Linked DNA regions of Arabidopsis thaliana. The protein of the gene in region 1 interacts with the protein of each later gene in a biochemical or structural test. Each region holds a gene or a part of one and is shown in the gene's direction. Other genes may lie near its edges. The genes, in order: EIF3E and FUS5.

Region 1 (8,208 bases):
GCTTTCAGCTTCTTCGGTAGACTTCGTTTAACAATCTGAAGAAAGGATACATAAAACAATGTCGGAACAAAAAGATAATGTTGTTAATAAAGCCATGAATGAGCCATGAATGAGCCATGAAGGATTCAAAACTATGATTCATAAAATACTGCCACAGAATCCAAACCTCGTATGTATCCCCCTTCTCCAGAATCTTCACGTAATGGACCTGTAAAACACCACCCTCAGACAGAATTGTCCGTGCAGTACTTCCAGCAGATCCTTCTGGAATGGCAGAATTCATTGCAGCTTCTGACACCTTGAGGCTAAAATTTGGGGTGGAGTTTGAAGGTGACAGGGCCTTCATTCTAGCTTGAAGAGATTCATATTGAGGTCGAGGCTCACCCATTCCATTACGGCTTCTTACTCCAGACCTTTTATCACTTGCCATCAGTTCTGCTAATGATCTCAGATCCAGAGTTCCTTTCAAGTAAAATTCTTCCACATGAATGTCTGAAAAGCTCGGTAAGTTTAATGATGCCACCAGCTTGTCATAACTTGGGGGGATTTTGTAGATGACACCATCACCAATGTCCAAATACGAAGGTTCATATGCTATCCTGCAAATGATGCAAAATTCAACGTGTCAATCTAGGAAACCCAACACCGTAAGTTATCTAAGCGGATTACACAGGGTTACACGGATCCCATGGAACATGAAAAAACATATGATCAACATACTTGGGTGTAATATCACGATCATGGTAGCTTCCTCGCCTATGTGGGGTCACATCAGCTGCAAAATTTGGAGAGTTGTCCATGTCATAGAACCTCCCATGGTAATCATTCCCTGGTTTCCTACCTCTGTAACTGCCCACATTGCTCTTTAGCACCGGAAAACCCATCAGATGAGGAGGATTCCCTTGAGTCTCCTTGGACCTATTTTTGAATTTTTGTACATGCTCCCCAAGCATTGATCGGTAGTGCTCCTCAGTAACATGTTGATTGTAGAGATCATCATCGTCCTCTGCATCCTCAGCTTCTGTCCACCGCTTTCTCTTCTTGGAGCTCGCATTCATTCTCGATTTAGACCCATTGCTGTAGTTTGCCACTACCCCACCTTTAACCATTACCAACCATATAGACAGAACACAGATAAACGTCACTTAAAACTATCACAGTAGGTGGCAAAAGTAATTCCATAAAACCAATTAAAAACTGTACCTTGAGTGCTTCTACTTTCATCCTGGCTACTACTCCCATAATAATCAACTTCATCTTCAGGTTTCGGAATTCTAAACTTCATCAACGGCTGCAAGAATGAAGAATTTAGCCACAAAACCCACACTGAATTTCAACAGTAAAACAAAAACACACTGTAGAAACAAGGAGAAGCTATACAATTGCAAGATTTCCAATCACCAAAACTACATTCATCACAGTCACATGATCATCATCCAACAAGTACAAACCATCAATTTCAAGGAAATCACAAAAAAATTGAGACCTAACAGACCTCGAGATCGAATAGATTCGCGTAAGGAGAGTCCTTCGGTGGTCGTCTTGAAGGATCCATGAGAGACGGGAAGAGAATAACACGGCGTCAAAATTTTGGAGAGTCTTAATCCTTAAAAGCTTCTAGACAGAAACATTCGTCACGAGAAAGAAAAAGAGTTCGTCTCGAAGAAGAACCCTAATCCAGTATGATAGAGGAAGAGGGCGAAAGGTTAAAGACGAACATGCGCAAGTTAGTGGACACAGGCGGTACAGAAAGAAGTCCAGACTACTAACATACGCCAAACGAATAAAGCTTCTTACCGTGCGCCTCTCCACAAAAAACATTTAATTATTATTTTTTCTTAACCCCTCCGGTACCGGCCGATCAGATAACGACGGCTAAGTTATCGTTTTGGAGATAAAAATACCTTGTGGGGTAAACAACAATATATAAGAAGTAAAGGGGCGAATTTATAAATATTGAAAGCTCATATTCGAGAAAACCCTAATTTCAATATACAGGATTTTTTACCTCGTCGTCTCTGAAACTTCATCTCTGCCGTCTTAAGAAGATTTTGCCAGTGCGGGAAGCGGCGGAGATTGAGAGATTAGCGACGATGGAGGAAAGCAAACAGAACTATGACCTGACGCCACTAATAGCGCCTAACCTGGACAGACACTTGGTGTTTCCTATATTCGAGTTCCTTCAAGAGCGTCAGCTTTACCCTGATGAGCAGATCCTGAAGTCTAAAATCCAGCTTTTGAACCAGACGAACATGGTTGATTACGCCATGGATATTCACAAGAGTCTCTACCACACTGAAGACGCTCCTCAAGGTATTCTTGTGTATTCCTCTCTGGATATGTCTGTGAATTTGCGTTTTTGTGTACTGGTTTGTTTGTTTGATGATGAATGTTGAAATTTGTGGTGATAGAAATGGTGGAGAGAAGAACAGAGGTTGTCGCTAGGCTCAAATCTTTGGAGGAGGCTGCTGCACCACTCGTGTCTTTTCTTTTGAACCCTAACGCTGTGCAGGAGCTAAGAGCTGACAAGCAGTACAATCTCCAAATGCTCAAGGAACGCTACCAGGTTGTGATTTGGATGATTAAGTTGTTTAATTTTGTGAAATGTTATCCAGATTTGGTTTTGTTTGTGTATTGTGGAACACAAATCTTATATGGCTTGGTGTCTTATCAGATTGGTCCAGACCAGATTGAGGCTTTGTACCAGTACGCCAAGTTTCAGTTTGAATGTGGCAACTATTCTGGTGCTGCTGATTATCTTTACCAGTACAGGACCCTGTGCTCTAACCTTGAGAGGAGTTTGAGTGCCTTGTGGGGAAAGCTCGCATCTGAAATATTGATGCAAAACTGGGATATTGCTCTTGAAGAGCTTAACCGTCTCAAAGAGATTATTGACTCAAAGGTTAGTATTTAAAACTTCTTCTAGTTTGCGACCTTTGAAATCAATATAGATGTGAGAGTATATATGCTAACTACCATTTGTTTTTTCAGAGTTTTTCATCGCCGTTAAACCAGGTGCAGAACAGGATTTGGTTGATGCATTGGGGTCTGTATATCTTTTTTAACCATGATAATGGAAGGACACAGATCATTGATCTTTTTAACCAAGACAAGTAAGCCTCTACCTCTCTGTTATCTGCATCTCTTCTTTATACCTTTCATCACCATCTATTTCCTTGCGTTTTAAGATAAGCATGATCTAGATGCGATGAAGTTATGTATAGGTGGTGTTTGTGTGTAGAACTTTGTTTATAGTTAATGTTAGTCCTGATGTGCCTACAAGTAATTAGCAGTCACTAGTTTTAGAGTCTTCTCCTTCTTTTCATCCAGACCTATTCTTAAGATTGTGCTTTGTGTATGGGCATTTGCTGAAAAATAATTCACTTTGTTTTCATGCTGCAGTTCTGTATACTAATTTGATTTACTTTTTCAGGTATCTGAATGCCATCCAAACTAGTGCTCCACACTTGCTGCGCTACTTGGCAACTGCTTTCATTGTCAACAAAAGGAGAAGACCACAATTGAAAGAATTCATTAAGGTCATTCAGCAAGAGCACTACTCCTACAAAGATCCAATTATCGAGTTCCTGGCATGTGTGTTTGTCAATTATGACTTTGATGGGGCTCAAAAGAAGATGAAAGAGTGTGAAGAGGTAACTCATCCACATGTATAGATATTTTTGTTTGTGCAGAACTGTGCAATCAATACTCTGACATTTTAACATGATGTAGGTCATTGTGAATGATCCATTCCTTGGCAAGCGAGTTGAGGATGGAAACTTTTCAACTGTACCACTGAGAGATGAATTTCTTGAAAATGCCCGCCTATTCGTCTTTGAAACCTATTGCAAAATTCATCAAAGGATTGACATGGGGTAAGTTCTCACATTTGGTTGTATATGTTTACACATAACTCTGCTCTCCGGATTGCTCAATGTTTGGAATTTTCTCTATTCCTTATCTTTCCCAACACATGAAAATTGCCATATCCAGCTATTTAAGTTGAGAAGAATTGTTGCGGTCTTGTGGTTTAACTTTGTACTCATGTCGAGCCTATATTTCCCTTGTCAGGGTACTTGCTGAAAAATTGAATCTGAACTATGAGGAGGCCGAGAGATGGATTGTGAACCTAATCCGCACCTCAAAGCTTGATGCCAAGATTGATTCTGAGTCAGGAACTGTAATCATGGAGCCTACTCAGCCCAACGTGTAAGTAGAATAAGCTTAAATCTATGATATCATTCGTATTCTACAATCTAATCTTGTTTCCGCTTTATGCAGGCATGAGCAGTTGATAAACCACACCAAAGGCTTATCAGGACGAACATACAAGTTAGTGAATCAGCTCTTGGAACACACACAGGCGCAAGCAACTCGCTAGTCAAAATTTTGCTGTGGAAGCCTTTCCTTGATAAAACTCACCTTCGGTTGACTGGAATTATTTTCTTTTTCTTGCTCTGAGTTCACCTTTTACTTTGAAAAAGATTATTATGGAGTTGTTCTATTTGAAATGTTGGATCCACAGATTGGAACATTTTCCAACCAAATCAGCATTTTGTATCCACCCTAAGCATTTAAAGGTTTTTGCAAGCCAACGTAAATTACTGCCTTACATTGAGCATCTCTGATTTGCGTAATAGTAAGTACAATAATAGCATATAACAGAAGTAAGAAAAACAAAACTTAAGAGTTAAGACTATGACAGTGGAAAGAACAGGTCACAAACAAAACAAGTATATCAATTCGTAAATAGTATAAAGTTACTCCAGAAGTCCAACTCGCCAGAGTCATCAAAAGAGAGAAGATAAATTCAATTTCTTTGGAGGTGGGTGCCCTCCAGAGAGTACCACATAAGAATAGAAACACAACATGCAATGGAAATGGCATATAGTGTGTTTTGATCTTTCCAGTGGATCTTTTGAAGCGAGTATGAAAATACCATTTACCACTGATGGTCGAGTTACTATAAGCAACATGAAGGACCGTTTGTGTATATCAGAGGGGAAGGACATGAAACAAGAGATATGGTCATTAAACTCTCGCAAGAAATGGGAGAAGACGTATTCGATTGATTTGAATAGAACTTCCATTTGGTGTCGCCGCCATCCGAATTTGCCAACAAAAACAATCACAACATTTCAGAAAAATAAGATTTTGCTTCATAATTGGAAGATAACTGGCCGTACTTTAATTATACATGATCCGGAACAAAATTCTTATGATTTTAGCTTTTAAATTTCAGCATAAAGGGGTTTCTAACTTTCTATCGCTTATTTCCCAAGTTTACTCACTGTATAACTGGTAGACGCATTATTTCTTATTATTGTTTCAGGATTGAGCTAGCAATAACTTTTCTATATTACTTATGTTTTAGTCTTCTTTCTTTATCTCTTTTTATTTATTTATTACTATGATATTCGAATATAGACAATCAAAGCATATCTCACAAATAAGAAAATCAAAACTTTAGATTATGACACTGGAAAGAACAGGTCACAAACAAAACCAAGTGTATCAATTCGTAAAGAGTATAAAATTACACCAGTAATCCAACAGACCAGAGTTATCAAAAGAGAGAAGATCTCCACTTTTTTAAATCTAAACCTATGTAAAGTCCCTTCAGTATGAAGGACTAGTCGCAGATGGTTTCAATTTCTTTGGAGGTGGGTTTCCTCCAGAGAGCACCACATATGAATAGAAACACAACATGCAAGCACTGCAATGAAAAAGACGTAAACACACGGTTACATGAATCCACGAAAGATCATCAGAATCTGTTGTAGATCACAAGACGTATTTCTTACCTGATGACAGCAAAAACCCCGGCCGGAAACAGCTTCTTAGTCTGCATAAGTACAACATTAAGCAGTTGAAGTCAAGCAAGCAAAAATAAACAATCAGCATGATCACAAAGATAATGAATACCATCGAATAAGCTGTGAAGTTCTTCCAGAAGACGACAGCTGAAAGCACTGCAATTTCAGGTTTAGAAAAATGAGTAAGCACAAATGCTTTCATAGATAAAATGAACATTTCTTATAGAGAATCATAGGCACATAATGTTCAGAGATGACCACTTCATAGCATGACACAGTATACTTATCTCGATTTTAATATCCACTTATCATGAGTAAGATACCAGTAATTACTTGATGTAATGAATTAGAGATGAAAAAAAGTCGTGGTAACAAAATATCCCCTACTGTTCCTGCAGACAATAAATGAAGATTACCTGCTTGTCCTAGTATATAAGGGAAACTAGATTTTCCCTCTCGCCAAATCTTTAAGCTCAGTGTACTAAGGGCTAGAAGGCCACCACCATAGAGGACACCAGTACTTAAACTTGTAAGATTTCGTGAAAACGCAAAACCAAGAAGCCCTCCACTCACAACGAGACCACCTGAAAAAGTATCATTTATTAACACCAGCGTGTTACCTGACAATAAGCAACTCTTTGCTAGAAATGCTAAGATTTGAAAGAAAGTTTGAGAGTCACAAAGTAGTACCATAAGGAATGCCGAAACAGAAGTCGTGGATCTTTGCTGCTCTTATTGGTTGTGTGGCAACATCTTCCTCTACTGGCTCTGTGATGCTCTCTTTATTGGTAGCAGTTTCATCAACAGTGGAATACGGTTTGGATGTTTTCTCAACAACAGGTTTTGAAACCTCAGCTGTATAGCTTAGAGAAGCTGGTGTTTCAGAGCTATTCCCATCAACACTTTTAACTACAAAAGACTGAACCAATTTATAGCCAATAAGCCACTAGTGGAGACACTATCAATCCCAAAAAATTTAGAAGAGAGCTCAACATATGATAATTAGCACATAGAGACAATCAAAAAGGTGAACAAAAAGGCAATTTTTGTTATTGAAGACATGGTACATTCCCAACCAACTCAACCAGAGAAAACAGAGAAGCAATTCAAGTCTCAAGGAGAACCATTTCTAGAAAACAAAAGCAAATATTCGATTACGACTAAATCAATCAAGCTCAAACGTTTTTGAGAGTAATCAGGAAAAGTAGAACAAATAGAGTATTGGGCATGGACGTAATCTAATCGAGATGAGTAAATTCCAAGTCTTTTTCATGCGATATCGAGATATTTACCTGGGGACGAATCATAGGGCATGGAAACGATCGGCTTTGGAAGTGAAATTGGCGATTGGTGGATGAGAAACAAGCAAGCTGAGAGATTTGTGAAGCCATCGTCCAGATCTGATACCGAAAAATTGGAAGTGAAAAGTCAAAAGGGAAAGAAATGGAGAATCGGAGCGTGGTCAGCACGAGAGATGGAGTGGTTGATCTAGCCGGCGTTCAGGACTGACTGACTAAAAAGACGATACTGATCGGACAATCTTGACCGTCCGCTCGTTTGATTTTGAAGTTGTTCGGTCAAAATGTTGCGAAGAAATTACGCGCATATGACAATTTCGGTTTAGTGTGGTTTAATCTTTGACTTTAGGGATCGGAGATGAGAAAAAACGAATCCATTTAATTATTTCGGTTTAGCTGGTTTAAGCTTAGGTTTCCTTTTTAGGCGGCTTTTAGCTTTCAAGTGGGCTCAGATTTGTCTCAGGTTCTTTATTGGGCTCATTTCGTTTAAAGACCATTAGTATTACTAGTAGTTTTGGTTAGCCCAACCAGCATTTGATTTTGTCTGAATTAAAGTTCTTTACTTGATTTCAACCACACCTTTAACGGCTAAGCCCTCATAAATCACACGCGTTGTTTGACTTGTGAGTGCACTTATGAAGAGTCAAGAAAGACAAATGTCTCTCTCTGTCTCTGATTATGTAGCTTACCATATATTACACCATTGTATTAATTATTCAGAGATTACCAACTCATTATTTTATCTTGTTGCCTAATTCCGTGTATTAATTTTAGTTTCATATTGACATTTTACATTTGGTTATATATTAATGTTCTTTCTCTAGAATTTACTATATATATTGTTTATGCTAGCTAGGATCAATGTCATAACAGTAAATGATTTCCACCTCGCTCTTAATTTTCTACAAATCATCTCTTTCTTCACCTAACGACGATGGATCTCCGATTCTTGGCGTCCTTGACCCTTCTTCTCGGTCTATTCTTCGTCAATACAAATCCAACAGGTCACTTAATACCTCTTTATTTCATTATGTATATAGAAAATATAACATGTGTGATTATATTATAATATCACCCTGACATAGAGTAATCAA
Region 2 (7,702 bases), on another chromosome or scaffold:
TTTAAATGAAGGTAATTGATCAGTACAACATGAACCCATGTGGCAATACTAGAATATTTTAGTGTCATACTAGTATCCATATTTTGACAAAAATCTCAAAAAAGCTTTACTAATGAAGATGTCGCTGTAACTAGAGTAGTAGAGTACACGTTCTTACCTCCAAATTTCTAATCATTTGATGCCCAAATGCATCATCTGGATGGATCTGCAAACAGAAACCCAACGGGTTAGACACATAAGCAATAAGATTCGTATCTGCAATATTATGCAGACAAGGAAAATCACAGTTGAGCTAACCTGCTCATATAAGAAAAATACTGCAGTTGAAAACGTTTTTGACGACCAATTGACGATGGCACGGCTTGAATCGGGGTCCAGATAAATCAAAACACATTCTGCAATAATAAACGTCGGCAGACTGATAATGATATTAGGGATCAAGTAGGTCTATCACCAGTAAGTATCTGTTACCATATATCTTAAACCCGGGTAGAAGAAGAGGGTTGAAGGTTCAAGATAACAGTGTGTAAAATAAATAAAAATTATTCATGGATACCTTAGATCCATATCTGCAAAGGATATAACATCTCTTAATTTTGGTATATCGCGCAGGTCAACTGGAAGTAACTTGTAATGATCACTGAGAACTTGTCCTTCGTCTGTAGAGATAAACAGCCCAACGAGTTAAGAGTAAGCAACTGAAACTAGACGCTAACGGTACAAAGTAAAAGGGGGTGGTTGAGTTAGTAGCTAGTAGAAGCGGAATGAAGAAAAATATGAGTGCACAAGCTGAAATGCATCATAATGAAAAGGATCATTCTACATAATAATACATGGGGGGAAAAAAGGCTCTTACCAATAGAAATAGATGCATTGGCTCCTAGTTTGTCCCTGAGTTGGCTGGAGTTTTGTATAACAGCAGCCTTCTTGCTAGTCACCTAACGTAAGAAGCAAATCCATTTAGGCATTAGACTCAAAACACATGATGGATACTTTTGTCAGCACGCTCATCCAGTAGTACCTCCTTAAAATCAAGTTCCACATAGAGATTGGGCCCATTCCCCTCATCCTACAAAATGAGAAGAGAAGAAGCGAGAGATCCCTGGAATAAGCCGAAGAATGGTGAATTTGGTAAAAGCTAACAAAAAGGAGAAGAAAAAGAAGACGCACCAGCAACTGAAAATAGGTAGTATCAAAGCCAGCTCCGAGAGACAGTATCTGTTTCTTAGAACTTGTCCCGCTTAGAAGAAACTGAGACATAAGCTTTCGGAAGGCAGCCCAACGGGAAAAGTAACCTCGATTAATGATGGGAGATCTTCGAACAGGTCTTTTCACAAAGAGATGAACATAGTCGTCTTTCATATATCCCTTTTTGACACAAGACCTTTAAAAATATTATCTAGGCTCAAAGATCCACAACAACAACAAAAAAAAAAGAAGAGCCCTAATTAAAGAAGAGAGAAAGAGGTAGGCGTACAATTTACTGGCGGATGCATCGTCGTTAGTAGCCTGAACCGCCGCTCTGTTGCTGCGAGATTCCGCCATCGTCGTCGCTCTCTCAGCCAAAATGAAGGAAGAAGAATATTCAATAGTCTCTCTCTTCCCCGGGATTGTTTGGGCTCACCAGACGCGGTTTCTAATATTTCTCTTAGTAGGCCTTGGCCCAGAAACTACGAAATTTGAGCCCAATTATTAAACAAGATTCTAGAAGAATTCGGTCGGTCACATAAAAAAAACAGTAATATAAAAACGGAAGAAGGAAGGAGCAGAGAGAAGAAGTTTGGGATTTTATTCGTTATTAGTGTGGTAAGAAAGAAAACCCTAAACCACCGGAAATCGATTTGTTTGGAAGATGGATATCGAGCAGAAGCAAGCCGAGATCATTGATCAGCTCGTGAAGCGAGCTTCTACTTGCAAATCCGAGGCTCTGGGCCCGCTCATCATCGAAGCCACATCGCATCCTTCTCTCTTCGCCTTCTCCGAGATTTTGGCTCTACCCAATGTTGCCCAGGTACTACTACTTTATGCTTTTCACGATCTAGGGTTTTACATGCTTTTGTTCTTCGCTGATCATAACAACTTGATAGATACTAGTAGCTGATTAATCGTAATTGTGCAGCTTGAAGGAACCACAGATTCTGTGTACCTGGATCTACTACGCTTGTTTGCCCATGGCACCTGGGGAGACTACAAATGTATGACCCCTTTGTCATATGCTATTTCAATTCGTTTTCCCTTTTGTCATATTCTCTCCTCTTGACTTGCTTTCATCGAAACACTAGGCAATGCCACCCGTCTTCCGCACTTGTCCCCTGACCAAATTCTTAAGCTTAAGCAGCTCACTGTCCTCACCCTTGCTGAGTCTAACAAGGTATATTTGTCTTAGGTTCATGATTTGCTCCTGCTATCTACTCTGTTCCATTATCTTTTTCCCCTGCTGTTTGCCTAACTGAATGTCTCTCTCACTCTGCTTGTTATAGGTATTGCCCTATGATACACTAATGGTCGAGTTAGATGTTTCCAATGTTCGCGAACTCGAGGACTTTCTTATCAATGAATGCATGTATGCGGTGAGTACTCTTTAGCAGTCTTCTAATCTCTATTTGACAACTAACTGTGACAACGCATGGTGCTCATTTTTTTTCTTTTACACTTTGCAGGGTATAGTTAGGGGAAAACTGGATCAGTTAAAAAGATGTTTTGAGGTGTGTTTTGGTTTGGGCCTCCTTTTCCTATTTTAACCATTGTGCTTTGTTTCTAAACGTACGAGCCCCCCCTTCTAAACATCATATATCTCTTGCAACCATGCAGGTTCCGTTTGCAGCTGGTAGGGATCTAAGGCCAGGTCAACTAGGGAATATGTTACACACATTGTCCAACTGGTAGTTTTCTTCTTCCCTTAGATCCAGGATTTTTTGCCTTCTATATCTAATTATAAGAACTTGTACGTGATGTTAGAATACATGGCTAATGACGTCCTACTCTTTTATGTGTTGGCCCAAATTGATGTCTAGGTTGAACACGTCAGAGAATCTGCTCATTTCAATTCAAGACAAGATCAAATGGGCGGACAATATGAGTGAGATGGACAAAAAACATCGTAAGGAAGCAGAAGAAGGGGTGGAAGAAGTGAAGAAGTCTCTGTCCATGAAGGTCAGTCGCGCTTGGAGTCCTATTGGCTTCACTTTTCCCTACTAAGTATATTATGTAACTAATATTGGTTACATTCTTTCTTGGTTACTGTCTTGTGACCATGAGTTAGAGTCCAGTCAGCTATTCTGTCTTATATTTCTTCAGAGAATTGTAGTGGGTTTCTTCTTATTAATAGCTTAGGTCTATGTAAGCGGGGATGGGAGAGACTTGATAAAAAAATCTTTCTAGGTCTTTGAGCTTTCCAAGTCCAGTCCTATCATAGATTAAAAAGTTATGTTTCTTAATAACAAACGAATCGATCAGCCAACTGTGGCGGGCTTTTTTAACCGTTCTTTCGTGGAACAAGAAATCTTACATGTTGGATGTAAACATATATTATGAAGTTTTCTTTAATTAAAAACAAACAAGGAACGCAATCACAACGGCTGTTAGTGAAGTGTTAAAGTCATTAGAGGACATGAATTGTTTGGAATGGTAGTACTTGGTTATTGTCTGATTGTTAAATGAAATGAAACAAGGTTCGTTTGGTTTTTTGTGTCTGAAATATGATTGGGAAGGGTGGTGGTCGATATAGTCTTACTTACGTTGTGGGCAGGGGGATGTTGACATCAGAGGGAATAAGGAGATGTTTGGGGAACCAAGTGGAGTGATGGACTACGAAGAAGATGGGATCCGACCAAAGAGGTAACGAATATTAGATATGAGTGAGATGATAAGTACAAAGGAGATGATATAACATACACACATTCAACTTTGGAACGCAGGAGGAGGCATCCTGTAACAAGGTAGAGGAGCAAGAGAGAGCAAATGGTCAGTGCGGATTGACATTCCATTTACCGAGAGTAGATTATGATTATTTGGTTGCGGATTTTCAACTTGTATAAGATCCTCTGTTCTCTCTCACAATAACCCCTTGTTATGTTTGATTTCCCTCATTAGCAAATTTGGTGTCTCTCTGCCCATTAAAAGAAAAATGGCTTTGAATTTAGTATTCAGTAATCAATAGTCTTGACACTTGAGCAAAGCTAGGCGCTTGGATCATATGGAATGATACAGATATTCTCAGTGTTCCGTCTTTTGACCACTAGCCAGCGCCTTGGCCCCTCACATGTTGAAACCTGCTTAGTCTGCGACAGCTGCCTCTTAGGCGGGCATGAAAGTGTTGTTTATTACGTCATCGACTAGATCCCACCATCGGAATTCTGACCGAAACATGTTCCTGAGAACGTTATACAAAGTACTAGTAGTCTAGTACTATATGATGACAATCCCTGCCGATTTCTCACACTCCCTCAGCATAATCATAATCTCTTTCAGTGTTTATGGTCATGTTTTATGACCATGAAAACACAATCCCCGCCGATTTCTCAAACATGTTTTCACCTAACTAATTCTCAAACAGACCCTTAAGAGCAAGGATAAAGGAATAATAGTGTTTTTTTTTTTTGTAATTAGAAAACATGTTTGTGAATCTTGAAGTTAAATAAATAAACTAAGACTCCTAAAATCTCTCCTACTGTATGTATAATTGTTACAACATAATATCAAAATACGCATACATATATACAAGTTGAAAGCTAAAGAGCTAGTGAGAATTGTCTGAGACCCAACCTCCCGAAACCATTCCCTCGTCGACAGGCTTCAGGCCACCACAGGATCTGGCTACCGATTCAAACAGCTTCTCAATCTCAGGCGCACATCTGATGAAGGCTTGTTTCCAGAAGCTATATCTTGGGTTCTTTATTAGCTCAATGAATGTGATTAGAAGTCCCCATGGATGTGGCCTGTTCACAATTAGCCGTTCCAACAGCACTCTAGTTATTTGCTCCTGTATGATCTCCTGTTTCATTCATCCCAAGAAAAAGAAAAAAAAAATCAGATTTCCATGCTCACTAATTTTTCCACACAACTCTTGACAAGCAAAGCAAACTCACCTGATCAGATTCGAAGAATAGATAGAGCATGATGAAAGAAAAGTAATGAGTGTGGTTGTTGGGGTATCGAAGCTGATTGGCGATTGCATTAAGGAACAGATACCGCCCTTCCGTATCAAGTTCCATACTTAAATACTTGAACATCTGCAAGGCCACAACATTTTGAGCCTGTGTCTCACCGGCCTGAAGCTGCTGAATAGCCTGTTATCGCAATGTCGGTTATTTGCATATATATATATATAATAAACTAGAAATCAAAAGAAAAGGCTGTATAGAAATTAGACCCATACCTGCATTCCAGTATATAGCACAAGCGAGTTGATCAATGGTACACTGTAACGGGTTCCAGCTGAACTAGCCTCGCTGGACGATAGAAGTAACTTTGTCTTCAACTCACTTAGGAAAGTTGAATTTTGCTGCCTCGACTGCAGAAAAATTATATGAGTATCTCTTGATATAATCTCAAGAATACCAAAGTGAATATAAGTAAATTGAAGAATCAGGTGTTCCCATTACCGTAAGATACTCATCCACGTCATTCTTCATTTGCTTTGCCTTTAGCGCAGCATCAACCTCAGAAAGGATACAGGGAGCTTCTACTATCTCAGGTAACAAATCAATCTGCAATGAACACGATAATTCAGCCTACAAGGAATATATTTTCTTTAAAATATGTTGAACATGCTGGAATCTCCACTATCATCTCGTACCTTTAAATTTGGGGTAGAAGGATCAGGAAGCCTCATGTTCCGTGGAAAAGAACTGAGGATAATATTCCGCATTTGTATGCAACTTGAAGGAATCACATCACAGAAAGTAAAATGATAATCACATAGGAACTCTGGGAAATCATGAAGCAGAACCAGTAATACTCTCAATGTCCCTTTGTATAGGAAATGAACCTACGCAATTAATAAACACACCAAAAAAGAGACCACTTTAAGTTACCATCGACTATATCCTTTAGTGTCCAATGCAAAACAATTACAGAAGAGAAAAAGGCACAAACCGGTCCTCCGAGTTCAGCATTTCTTAAAAATGGCTCAAGAAACTGAAGCAAGTCCACCAGCAGGCGCTGAACATATGGCCAACCCTTCTGGCCATTTACTGTAAGTAGTTTGGGCATGAAGCTTCTGTGGCTGACAAGTTCTAGCCATGCAAAACTGGAAAAATTTATAAAAACCTCAGTGGAGAAGAAAAAAAATGTATAAAACACGGATCACAGATCAAAGAAAAGAAGATACATATGTCAACAACATGAAATGTTTGACAACATAGGTATTTGACTGCCCTCAAATTTCCTGAGAGATTCAAATTTTTAAGTTTTAATAGAAGCACGGTGAGAAATAGGTTTGTGTCCTAACCTGAAAGCAGGAATCTTAAGAGGCTGCAATGCGTGGAAGGCGTTGGCAAAAGCTGTGAGAACCTGCAACAAAAGATTAATTAAAGTGATAACAATTAATAGCAGCTACTTCAAGGACAACAAAATGCACCTGAAAGTTTGCACCATCCGTCCCAGGATCCAGGGAACACAAGTCCAGTAGCCAGTTGATGAACAATCGGAAATATGGTTTAGAATTGAGTGATGTCTTTTTATCTTCTGCGTCCTTTTGAATAAATCTCACTGTGTCAGCCATGATCTGAAACAGGTAATCAATACCACTCACCTTTTCCATCCATTATAGTAGAAGTTAGATTTATTTCCAATAAGAGTATGTGTCCCCTTACCTCTGAAAGAAGAAATAACCTACTGCTAGACTCCTGCTCAGGGAAATACTGAACAGATTGTCATAAGAAACAAACAAAACAAAAAAAGCTTAGCCGGCAATGTATTTTGGGTATAATTATCCACGAAGAATGCAAAAAAAAAAATGAGCACTCTACCTTCAATATTGAAAAAACAAGCTTTGCATACATATCAATGATAAGGAATGATGGACTCTGAGGTTGCTGAGGAGATTGCACAGCACCGGAATTAATATCTTCAGAAGATATACAATGAGCAACAGAAAGTTCCTACAGAAAGGAAAGCCAAAATCAATAATGATGCCTCTCAAGATTTGAAAGTGCTGATGCTAAAACATTCTTAAAAGGTAAAATCACCAGAAGAATTCGGAAAAAACTCTCTGTTGTATCATCTCCCTTAAGTAATCCAGTCTGGTGCAAATGCAGGACATATTGTGAACATGCGGTTTCATTTGCACCAGGAAGTTCGCAGATTTGATACCAGTTTTTAAATAGCGTGGACACCTGCCAAACCATACAGAGGAAGACAAAAACAAGATATAAACAAGAAGTACGAGAGATGTATGTTCAAACATAAAACTGAAGAGATAACAAACTACAAACACATGTATCTAAATACATCGAATTAAAGTGAAAATTTAAAATCCATCTACAAGACAAAAATAAGGAAAAAAACATGCATACTGAACGAAAATAGCTTCATAGAAACGTTTGTTTTGAAATCCTTTTTGTAGCTTGCAAATTCATTGTGCTGATACAAACATTTTAGCTTTTGATTTACTCTTTTGCAAGTGAAAAATTTAGATATATGCAATTCCCAATCAACTTTTAAAAAAGAAAAGGTAGAGCTCTAAATCAATATAGAAGTT

Evidence for each region.
Region 2: the proteins of EIF3E (region 1) and FUS5 form a complex in vitro, tested with the Arabidopsis thaliana proteins (one study listed by BioGRID).

Annotation. Positions count from the first base shown.
Region 1 is NC_003074.8:21,192,959-21,201,166, reverse strand, and holds EIF3E (eukaryotic translation initiation factor 3E), read left to right. Parts: upstream 1-1,847; 5' UTR 1,848-2,093; coding exon 2,094-2,313; intron 2,314-2,411; coding exon 2,412-2,566; intron 2,567-2,674; coding exon 2,675-2,902; intron 2,903-2,991; coding exon 2,992-3,113; intron 3,114-3,433; coding exon 3,434-3,653; intron 3,654-3,732; coding exon 3,733-3,875; intron 3,876-4,071; coding exon 4,072-4,209; intron 4,210-4,281; coding exon 4,282-4,381; 3' UTR 4,382-4,650; downstream 4,651-8,208. Other genes in the region: INO80 (DNA helicase INO80-like protein), read right to left, coding at 1-35, 167-599, 721-1,099, 1,204-1,291, 1,496-1,555; AT3G57280 (Transmembrane proteins 14C), read right to left, coding at 5,620-5,716, 5,805-5,845, 5,926-5,972, 6,233-6,400, 6,507-6,735, 7,109-7,207; BG1 (beta-1,3-glucanase 1), read left to right, coding at 8,049-8,118. UniProt on the Arabidopsis thaliana protein: Component of the eukaryotic translation initiation factor 3 (eIF-3) complex, which is involved in protein synthesis of a specialized repertoire of mRNAs and, together with other initiation factors, stimulates binding of mRNA and methionyl-tRNAi to the 40S ribosome.
Region 2 is NC_003070.9:383,719-391,420, reverse strand, and holds FUS5 (Proteasome component (PCI) domain protein), read left to right. Parts: upstream 1-1,612; 5' UTR 1,613-1,852; coding exon 1,853-2,011; intron 2,012-2,119; coding exon 2,120-2,195; intron 2,196-2,282; coding exon 2,283-2,371; intron 2,372-2,480; coding exon 2,481-2,570; intron 2,571-2,660; coding exon 2,661-2,705; intron 2,706-2,811; coding exon 2,812-2,882; intron 2,883-3,014; coding exon 3,015-3,153; coding exon of another isoform or gene 3,154-3,198; exon of another isoform or gene 3,199-3,748; coding exon 3,749-3,837; intron 3,838-3,917; coding exon 3,918-3,942; 3' UTR 3,943-4,144; downstream 4,145-7,702. Other genes in the region: SBI1 (Leucine carboxyl methyltransferase), read right to left, coding at 158-205, 298-418, 557-659, 857-938, 1,022-1,069, 1,171-1,384, 1,478-1,545; AT1G02080 (transcription regulator), read right to left, coding at 4,739-4,993, 5,088-5,288, 5,378-5,512, 5,604-5,708, 5,798-5,989, 6,097-6,250, 6,452-6,513, 6,581-6,727 and 3 more. UniProt on the Arabidopsis thaliana protein: Component of the COP9 signalosome complex (CSN), a complex involved in various cellular and developmental processes such as photomorphogenesis and auxin and jasmonate responses.